3 linked regions of the Xenopus tropicalis genome follow. The protein of the gene in region 2 interacts with the protein of the main gene of each other region in a pairwise test. Links are inferred from orthologs where the notes say so. Each region holds a gene or a part of one and is shown on either strand. Other genes may lie near its edges. The genes, in order: dnaaf4, spdl1 and ca8.

Region 1 (3,659 bases), about 68 Mb from region 2:
TTTTACATACTACTAATTTACTAAGTAAATGTCTTTCTCTAAAAAGCCTATTTGCACATAATTAAAGAAGACAGTTAGGTGGCTTCAGGGGGCACCTATTTAGGTGTGTATTCTTTGTTTTGTTCTCTTTTAATTGCTTAGCAAAACAAGTTGGGGCCATTTTCACCCATATAAGGTAAATCTTAGGGACCTGTGACAGAAGGGCTTGTTCACTTCACTGAAGTGCAGTTTCGTAAGTAATTCACCATGCTTTTATACCCACAGTGCAGATTTTTTTCTATCATAATTCCAGCATTATAGCATCCGACACAGTGTTAAAATGTGCGCAATTCTGCTTGTGTTTTAATGCAAAATTGACACAGTTTCACTGGAAATTCTGGTTTTCTGTGAGTTTTCACACAGGAAGCAGTGGGTTCCACTGAGTCAATTTGTGCACTCCATGCATACAGATTGTTGGGGTGCATTGGTACCTGGTGGCAAAATGCACAAGGACAAGGAACACTATTGGATGCAATGAGCAATTTGAGAAATGGCTTTGTCAATTTTATGGCAACTGTGGTTGGGATTAGTAACTGAGCCCTATAGTTTTGATATTTTACTTTGCCTTTTTGGTCTTTTGAGTAGTAAGGATGGTATTTAATTAGTCTGCTTATTTTATTATTCTGTTCAGATTACTGTCATTCTAAAAATATAATATATATTTATAAATATATATTTATCATACTGTGCTAGTGGATTATGATGTTGGCACTTTATAAATAGATGTTTATTATAATATTGCTACCTACAATTGTATTAAAAAAATATAAATTTAATTTAGATTGAGGATGCAGAGAGAAAACGCATAGAGGATGTCAAACATGAGGAAAGGAAGAAAGCAACAGAGGAATTGGAGAAGTGGAAAGAAAAGGAGAGAATTCAGGAATTAAATGAAAAGATCCAGAAAAAGCAAATGAGAAGAGAGAATGAAAGCAATAAAGCAGTACACACAAGGTCTTCAGAACACTGCTCCACTGGTAATGTATGAACTATAATTATCCCAAACATTGCAAATGTGTTAGATGCAGGTTGGAATATTTGGAACATGCACCTAAAGTACTGAGGACGTAATTAAAAAAGGTGCATTTGTTGCTTTGTGTTTTCATTATTAGTAGAAAATATAGATACTGTACAGTAACAGTTATTGTGATATTTATAGAATTTATATGTTTATAGATACATTTTTATTACTCTTCTTACTAACTCTACTAACATATGTCAACCCATGATGGTTTTACATTTGTTTCCTTATGGAATTGAAAACCATAAAGGTTGAATATCACTGCAAAGCACATACAGTGGCTTGCAAAAGTATTCGGCCCCCTTGAACTTTTCCACATTTTGTCACATTACAGCCACAAACATGAATCAATTTTATTGGAATTCCACGTGAAAGACCAATACAAAGTGGTGTACACGTGAGAAGTGGAACAAAAATCATACATGATTCCAAACATTTTTTACAAATAAATAACTGCAAAGTGGGGCGTGCGTAATTATTCAGCCCCCTGAGTCAATACTTTGTAGAACCACCTTTTGCTGCAATTACAGCTGCCAGGCTTTTAGGGTATGTCTCTACCAGCTTTGCACATCTAGAGACTGAAATCCTTGCCTATTCTTCTTTGCAAAACAGCTCCAGCTCAGTCAGATTAGATGGACAGCGTTTGTGAACAGCAGATTTCAGATCTTGCCACAGATTCTCGATTGGATTTAGATCTGGACTTTGACTGGGCCATTCTAACACATGGATATGTTTTGTTTTAAACCATTCCATTGTTGCCCTGGCTTTATGTTTAGGGTCGTTGTCCTGCTGGAAGGTGAACCTCCGCCCCAGTCTCAAGTCTTTTGCAGACTCCAAGAGGTTTTCTTCCAAGATTGCCCTGTATTTGGCTCCATCCATCTTCCCATCAACTCTGACCAGCTTCCCTGTCCCTGCTGAAGAGAAGCACCCCCAGAGCATGATGCTGCCACCACCATATTTGACAGTGGGGATGGTGTGTTCAAAGTGATGTGCAGTGTTAGTTTTCCGCCACAAATAGCGTTTTGCATTTTGGTCTCATCTGACCAGAGCACCTTCTTCCACATGTTGTGTCCCCCACATGGCTTGTGGTAAACTTCAAACAGGACTTCTTATGGTTTTCTGTTAACAATGGCTTTCTTCTTGCCACTCTTCCATAAAGGCCAACTTTGTGCAGTGCACGACTAATAGTTGTCCTATGGACAGATTCCCCCACCTGAGCTGTAGATCTCTGCAGCTCGTCCAGAGTCACCATGGGCCTCTTGGCTGCATTTCTGATCAGCGCTCTCCTTGTTCAGCCTGTGAGTTTAGGTGGACGGCCTTGTCTTGGTAGGTTTACAGTTGTGCCATACTCCTTCCATTTCTGAATGATCGCTTGAACAGTGCTCCGTGGGATGTTCAAGGCTTTGGAAATCTTTTTGTAGCCTAAGCCTGCTTTAAATTTCTCAATAACTTTATCCCTGACCTGTTTGGTGTGTTCTTTGGACTTCATGGTGTTGTTGCTCCCAATATTCTCTTAGACAACCTCTGAGGCCGTCACAGAGCAGCTGTATTTGTACTGACATTAGATTACACACAGGTGCACTCTATTTAGTCATTAGCACTCATCAGGCAATGTCTATGGGCAACTGACTGCACTCAGACCAAAGGGGGCTGAATAATTATGCACACCCCACTTTGCAGTTATTTATTTGTTAAAAATGTTTGGAATCATGTATGATTTTCGTTCCACTTCTCACGTGTACACCACTTTGTATTGGTCTTTCACGTGGAATTCCAATAAAATTGATTCATGTTTGTGGCTGTAATGTGACAAAATGTGGAAAAGTTCAAGGGGGCCGAATACTTTTGCAAGCCACTGTAGTTTTGTTCTATGTTTTTAGGTGAGAAATTGTTGTCCCAGTCTATGGTGCACGTAATGTGGTAAAATTCACTTTAAACGTCATTAGTGTATATTTATTTTTTGTAACATACATTAATTGAGGCTGTACTGTAGTCACTATTACCTAGGTGTTCTATTACTTGCACCTTTATAATGTGTTTCGGGTTGTTAGAGATCCCAGGATCCAGTATAGTATCTTAACAGTCTGTGGCATGCAAGTGTCAAGTAGTAAATTTGTAGTAAATTTGTTGTAAAATTTTCCCATGTTTGGCTGCATTTTGCCCAGTGCCTAGGCTCCCTGGTTGTGATCAGCAACTAGAAGCATGCTCACTGGAAGCCACGGGCAGGGTGACCTAAGCAGGGAGAGTCTTTAAACCTCTAGCCATCTTGCCTCTGAAACATATGCACCATGATAGAGTCGCAGCATATAGTTGAAATGAAGGGCGTAACAATAACATTTGTAAACAGAATAATAAACAAGGCACTGAATAAACATAACTCCCTGATATCTTGAGTGTAATATATGTTTTAAGTTATTTTTTTTATTTTCTCTGATGATGTTGTAGTAGTATTCAGACCAACACCCATAAGAATATGTGACATTGCTTAATTTATGTTTGCCTTATTTAAAATTTCTGCACATAATTAATCTCAAAGGAATTATAAATATTGTGGCACATTTATGTTTTTCCATGGCACCTTTCAGTCCTTTAAGACAGG
Region 2 (3,659 bases):
TAATAGTTAAAAGAGAATCTAAATGCAAAAAATACATTGCTGTAAAGTTGAGTAGTTGAGCACTTTTGCAATTTACATTAATTCTTTATTTTATGTGGTTTTTGAGTTATTAGCAGTACTGGGCCTTTTTATACTGCTAGGCAGGCATGGTTCAACAGATGTTTATTAAGGATTAAATTAACCTTAAGGTTTCTGGCTCTCAGTTGAGCTAAAAGCTGTCTAAAATTAATGTAAATTGTAAGTTCTCAGAGAAGCACCCTTGCATTAGGCATGCACCAAATCCAGAATTCAGTTTTCGGCAGGATTTGGATTCCGAATCCACACTTTTTGTCATGTTAACGCGGAAGTGGAAACATTTTCGACATTTAACCCTTCCAAAACCTAATTAGCATATGCTAATTAGGATTTGGTTCGGTATTTGGCACAATCCCTTATGGGTGGATTCAGGGGCTCACCGAACCCAAAAAACTGGATTTGGTGCATCCCTAGTTTGCATCAATTCATTTTTTGTGTTTAGATCCTCTGTAACCATTTCCCAGAAGATTTTGGTGAAATTAAATTACAGTAATACTATCTGATTTCATTATTAAAAACATCTAATTTAGAATTTCTGTTATTTGCAGTAAGGAAATTGAGAAGATAAAAGATGAACTATCTTTGCAACGGATGAAAGCTCTAGCCGAGAGCCAACGGGTCTTGGAACTGGAACGGAAGCTTTTTGCAAATGATAGGCATCTCAAACTCTCACAAGGCGAAAATATGAAACTCCGTGTCAATTTGGATGAGATGAAGATGAAATATGAACCTGATGGTATAAATTATGAATCAGCTTGCATGTTATCTAGTACTAACAAATGAGTTATACGTACTTTTGCCAAATTTATTCATGCTCCCACCCACTATACTAATGATGCACATTACAACCATCTGAGCTTTAGGCAGCCATGCATAAAATGCCTGAAAATGGCAATATATATGTAGGGCTACTCCTGTTGCTATATGTTTAATTGATTCTTCCTTTCATTTAAAAGAAGCTATTCACACTTCAGTATTTTTAATACACTAATACTTGATTATGGAATTAAGCAGCCCTGTGAACCTTGTAATGCTCCAGTTGCAGGTTGTTTCTGGCCCAACCATCTTAAACTTGGTTGTAGAGACAGCAAAAATTTAGGGCAAGCTCTTTTTACAGAACAAACTGTGTAGATAAAGGCTCAGTTGGCCTCGGTGATGCTAGTGCTTTTTGTTTTTTTCAGAAATTGCCAAAATCCGGACTCAAAAACGAAGAAAAGAACAGCTTCCACTTGATTGCGCAATAGATAACACCAGTGCTACTGTGACTTCAGGCAGTCAAGCTCATGGTCTGTCTGATGCAATTCCAGAAGATATGTGCCCAGCTGAATCAACGGTTCATAGAAACCTTTTGAAAGAAGATTCATCTTTGTCTACTAAAGAGCAAGATCTGTCTTCCGTTGCAGTAAAACCAATAGAACCGGCAAATGGTCAACCTCCAAAAGAACGCAAACGAGTGAGGATTGTGGAAAATGAAAATGATAATCAAGATATAAACAAAAGAAACACAAATAACTGCTCCGTTACTTCTACCTCCCCCAGGTCAGTGTCACCTCCTATAATTGCACAAGCCATTCAAGGAAGATCTTCATCTTTTTTCTTCCGCTTTGTGAGTTGCGCTATCCGCTTCTTCCTGTTTATCTTAAGCTTTGCATGGTGTCTCTTTCCTCCATTCCGGTTACCTCGACTGAACTTTTTTAGCTCTTTTAAAAAGCCTTGAACACTACAGTTTTAAAGAACATTAAAAGCTCTTGTCTTTTTAATGTCATAACAGTTTATTATGTATGCCATTCAAAATAATTTTTCACACTACTGCTGGAATACTGTGTTAATGCAGAGCAATAATAATTAGCATAACTCACAGTACTATTTTGTTCTGGCTACACTTTGAGCGTTTTAACTTTTTGTTTTTTGTTTGTCCATTGACGTCAGAAATTGTGTGTCTGCTGTTACACATTGTATATGTAGATTAACCCACAGGAAAGTCTTGTATTTTGTATAATGTATGTCTTACGAAAACCTCTTTGTTTAGCAGTATTATTTGCATTCCAATGTAGTTGGTATTCCTGGTTGGGGCAACTTGCTTTACTCACACTTGAATTTAAATTCTTGAAGAATTATATGTAGTGAATATAACCATAAATAGGTTGGTTCACCTTAACAGTAACTATTATTATGACTTAGGAAGCAGTATCTTAACATTTTTTGCAGTTATGCTTAATTGTTTTATATTTTTGTGATGGAATTTAAATTGCTATTTAGTTGCCAGGACTATAGGCATCAGGACACAAGCTCTGCTGTAATCGGTTCAAAATGAGCCAGTTTGCAAGTCCCCATTTCTGAGCTCTAGCAGATTTGCACTATTTACATGGGTAGTTTTCCTTTTGGACAAATGTTCAAGAGCTTCGCCTTTTAAACATTGTTTTCTTGTGAAACCTTGGGGGTTGGTTTCAACACTGCTTTTAGCTTTTAAGATTAAGTTTACAAAATTAGCATTTGTTTTCAGTCGCTTACTCTTGTGCCCATTAGCTCAGAGAGAGGCTTGTCGACTTTTACATATGAGACAATTTAAGCGGTTAGGACCATGGACGCATCTTAGAAGTAAGGGATAGTTGTCCTTTATAGCGGCTCGCTACTGCACACAAACCACACAGTCTTTATGCGCTTCTCTGCCCACAGCTATGTGTTGATGCGTCTTCTGATAAGTGTTTAGCAATGTCCTTCTGACAAGCACATACTCCTCTGGGCTCTATCCAAGCATACTGCAGTGCAGGGCAGCCACTTTTGAAAGGAATAGGCTCGGTGCTTATTAGAAACACTAGAGACTGGTATGGACAAACAGAAAAAGCTGTTGCACTTAGAAATTGCTTCAGAACTAAAATTTGACTTTCATGGGGCCAGAGAAATTGCTATAGGGGAAACAGGTGGGAGTCCTGTAATGGGCCCAGACTACATTAAAGGAGAAGGTATGGTACAATAACAGGGAGGGTGGCAAAATGTTAGGAACACCGCAATCATTGTAATCGCTTACCTGATTCCATGGACCAATGCTGCTGTTGGCAGAACACTGCACCAGCCCAGGGTACATGCAAGTGTGCAATTGCCTTTTCCTTCTTATTTCTTAGCGCTGCTTGTGCATGTGTAGTAAAGTGAAAAGGCGAACGTTAACAAAAAAGCCAGCTTTTTCACTATACTGCTCGTGCATCGACCCCGGGATAGTACCCAGGCCGGTGCAGTTTTTTGCTAAAAGGAGCACCTGCCTGGGGTATCAGGTAAGTGATTACAATCGTTGGGGTGTTCCTAACATTTTGGCATTTTGCCAGATCAGTAATATGGCCTGGCCCGGGTGTATGGGGCCTCACTATTCCTCACAGCAATCTTGACCTGTTTTAATAGAATTCCTAGAGCAAATAACAGAAATAACATTCCACATGTAGACTTTCAACCTGTCCAGTTTTGACTCAAAACTGCATGCCCAGTTCCAAATAAAGAACAGGACTCCCCTTGAATGATTCGGCAGTGGATGATCTTCACATCATAGTCTCGTCCCCATGATGTCATAATTCCACCCTGGCATCACTGGCCCC
Region 3 (3,659 bases), on a different chromosome or scaffold from region 2:
CCAATATGGATTCATGCAGCTTAGTTACCATCAAGTACAAGGTACTGTTTTATTATAACAGAGAAAAAGGAAATCATTTTTTAAAAATTAGACCTTTTTGTTAAAAATCTATTGGAGATGGCTTTCCTGTAATTCAGAGCTTTCTGAATAATAGGTTTCCGGATAATGGATCCCATACCTGTACCAGGTGCAAATCTGTGTCGCAGATGGGGTACATCAGTCCTGATCAAATCAATATGTTTGAGAATGCCTTTACTTAGAAGTACGATATGGGATCAGTTATCTGGAGTTTATCCAGGAAGCCCCAAATTACATGAAGGATATTTCTCCATTCAAATCTAATAATTCAAATTTTTTACAATAATTTCCTTTTCTCTGTAATAATAAAACAGTACCTTGTACTTGATCCCAACTAAGATATAATTAATCCTTATTGGAGGCAAAACAATCCTATTGGGTTTATTTGATGTTTAAATGATTTTTTAGTAGATGTAAAGTATTGCGATCCAAATTCTGACAAAGCTCTTATCCCAGGTCCTGTACATTCTGCATAACAGGACCCATACCTGTATATAAAACATTCAAAATATGTTTACAAATGGAAAAAACTCTTAAAAATAATAATGGTTACTTACCTGTGTTTGAGAAACTGTTAAAGGGTATCGAAATAATATCCAGGTAACTCCTTCACTACATGGTGGCATTGTAAGAGATCCCTCATATACCCAATAATCACGCAGCAGGGGGTCTGAAAAAGGTCAGTTTTTTTACAACTCATTAAGATACTATAAGTAAACATTAAAGTTACATGAAATGGTCATTTTAATTATGAAACTGAATAAAAGTATCTATATATGTTTTCCTAAGAGTCATCAGTCGGCAGCCAATGAGCGAAGGTGTCCAATCAGGGAATATGGAAGCACCCATTTCACTTGTTCAACATTCAGCCTACGAGCAGAATTGTGGTTAATATTGAGATACTGTTAGATACTAAAAAAATACTTAACCAACAGATTGTTTAGATCATATTAAGTGGCCTATTTTACCAATCTGGGATATATATCAGTAAATATTGGTCTTTTACATCTTTTCTCTTGAACCACCATTTAGTGATGGGCTGTGTGCTCCCTCAGAGATCAGCTGACCAAAAATAATGCAGCTCTAACTGTAACAGGAGGAAGTGGGGGAGCAAAAGACAGAACCTTGTCCATTAATTGGCTGATGGAGCCTAGCATGTATGTGTGCCTTGGTTTGTTTGTGTGCACTGTGAATCCTATGATCCCAGGGGTTGGACCTTAGTACTTAAAATGGCAATTTTCTATTTAGGCGTACCCAATGGCACATACTACTACTTCATAAAAATGTTTTATTTAGATAGCAAGGTTTTACATATGAGCTGCTTTATGCAATATATTTTATAGAGACCTACATTGAGGTAGAGTTTTCCATTAAGTTCAATTTTATTTTGTTTATATTTGCATTAAACTTCTTTCCATACCTGGTAATAAGGTGTTGGGATTAAAGCATGGTATCGTCTTAGATTTCCCCTAAAAAAGACCAAATGCATTACCTTCTAAATGAGATGCAGCGTATATGTACTTGAAAAAGCTGAAAATAAAAGTAGAAGACATGCGGAATGTACTGAACAGGCCTTGTACTGAAGGGCAATAGTGCCTTGTTAAATTTATCACTTGTTTTCTTTCCAGTGCGCCCTGTAAATGCATTTAGTAGTTACAAGGACATTGTGCTATTAATTATTAAATAACAAGCCTGTGTGTCTCAAGAACAACTAGTTTCCCCTCTGCTTCCAATATTTTTTTTATCTTCCCTCTCAACTGAATGAAATATATTCCCTAACAAAATGCAGAGCCTCTGATTATGGTTTCATTACACTTTCAGTTATCACTAACAAATGCTGAATACTTTAGAAATGATTACAGGCCTTAGCAGCAGATGGTAGACACTATATAGAATATGGCACAAATGACTTTTGGCCCTAAACAAAATCATAGCATATGTATCAGTGTGTTCCACTGGCATTCATTTGCCAAGCAGCCATCGAACAGAAGGATTATATGGGGAAGCCCATTTATCAACATTCTCCTTTTAGTGAATAAAATCATTTTCTCTAAGACAACGGATGTCAAGTGATTTATTAAATAAGTCTTTAAAAAAGGACGAATTAAAAAAATGTAGAAGAAATTACAAATATCGACTGGTAATTAATACAACCAGAGAGATATTGTGTATCGGCCAATGGTATCTACAATGAGTATGACATGCCCTTAAAGAAATTAAAGAAATAAAAGTATACATGGCATCAACCAACCGAAAATATCACACAAGCATTTACACTTTATACCAGTGATCCCCAACCAGTGGCTCAGGGGCAACATGTTACTCACCAACCCCTTGGATGTTGCTCTCAGTGCCCCCAAACCAGGTAGTTATTTTTGAATTCCTGACTTGGGGCAAGTTTTGGTTGAATAACAAGGTTTACTACCAAATAAAGCCCCCTGTAAGCTGATAGTGTGCATAGAGGCTCCCTAATAGCCAATCGTAGCCCTTATTTGGCACCTCCATGAACTTTTATGATGCTTGTGTTGCTCTCCAAGTCTTTTTACATTTGACTGTGGCTCACGAGTAAGAAAGTTTGGGGACCCCTGCTTTATACCATTCTATGTACAACACACATATAACATATTAACCATAGGTCACTTTGATGTTATTTTATAAATAAATTGCACAAGTTCAGCTGAGCATCCCATGTTAGCTCCTTCCTATGATTCTGCTTCATGGGACACTTGCAGGATTATTATTCCTTTTGAAAAAAAAAGAACTTACTTTATAAAATATATCCTGAAGAACCTCTGTGATAGCTTTAAGGCCAATATTTTCTTTTCCTATCTGAAACAGTAACAAAAAAACACTGTATTTAATGAATTAAAGGCACTGGCTCTTGAAACTTAGGACTCTGCACTTACAAGATTAAGTCAACTGTTCTGCTGATGGGAAGCTCCTATCAGTAAGAGCTTTGGGACCGTTCAGGTAACAAATAAGCACAAATAAATACACAGATATGCTAAATTGGGGGTTTATTTATATTAAAATACAATTTGTAAAATATAGGATAGTATATGGTAAAAATGATAGTACAGGTATCGGACCCCTTATCCGGAAACCCGTTATCCAGAAAGCTCCGAATTACAGAAAGCCCGTCTCCCATAGACTCCATTTTAATCAAATAATTTAGAATTTTAAAACTGATTTTCTTTTTCTCTGTAGTAATAAAACAGTACCTTGTAATTGATCCCACTAAGATATAAATAATCCTTATTGGATGCAAAACAATCCTATTGGGGTTAATTAATGTTTTATTGATATTTTAGTAGACTTAAGGTATGGAGATCCAAATTACAGAAAGACCCCTTATCCGGAATACCCTTGGTCCCGATCATTCTGGATAATGGGTCCTATATCTGTATATGGTAAAAATGATTCACACACAATCCACGTATGTAAAGACAAACAATACTTTATTAAAAAATGCTTATGTATACTCAAATAAACTACTATTTTGCCTATTGTAAGTTCAAATATTTTAGCCTGAGTTACTGAATAATACTAGTTTTTAATTCAGGTCTAGCCTCAACTATAAT

The links.
Region 1: the proteins of spdl1 (region 2) and dnaaf4 interact in binary tests that used the Homo sapiens proteins (3 or more experiments, as listed by UniProt). The two-hybrid records come from large-scale screens. The link is inferred for Xenopus tropicalis from reciprocal best matches to the Homo sapiens genes SPDL1 and DNAAF4.
Region 3: the proteins of spdl1 (region 2) and ca8 interact in binary tests that used the Homo sapiens proteins (3 or more experiments, as listed by UniProt). The two-hybrid records come from large-scale screens. The link is inferred for Xenopus tropicalis from reciprocal best matches to the Homo sapiens genes SPDL1 and CA8.

What each region holds. Positions count from the first base shown.
Region 1 is NC_030679.2:100,682,125-100,685,783, forward strand, and holds part of dnaaf4 (dyslexia susceptibility 1 candidate gene 1 protein), read left to right. Parts: intron 1-820; coding exon 821-1,016; intron 1,017-3,659.
Region 2 is NC_030679.2:32,862,673-32,866,331, reverse strand, and holds part of spdl1 (protein Spindly), read left to right. Parts: intron 1-623; coding exon 624-811; intron 812-1,256; coding exon 1,257-1,614; intron 1,615-3,659. UniProt on the Homo sapiens protein: Required for the localization of dynein and dynactin to the mitotic kintochore.
Region 3 is NC_030682.2:116,874,511-116,878,169, forward strand, and holds part of ca8 (carbonic anhydrase-related protein), read right to left. Parts: intron 2,908-3,659; coding exon 2,845-2,907; intron 1,548-2,844; coding exon 1,499-1,547; intron 749-1,498; coding exon 636-748; intron 1-635. UniProt on the Homo sapiens protein: Does not have a carbonic anhydrase catalytic activity.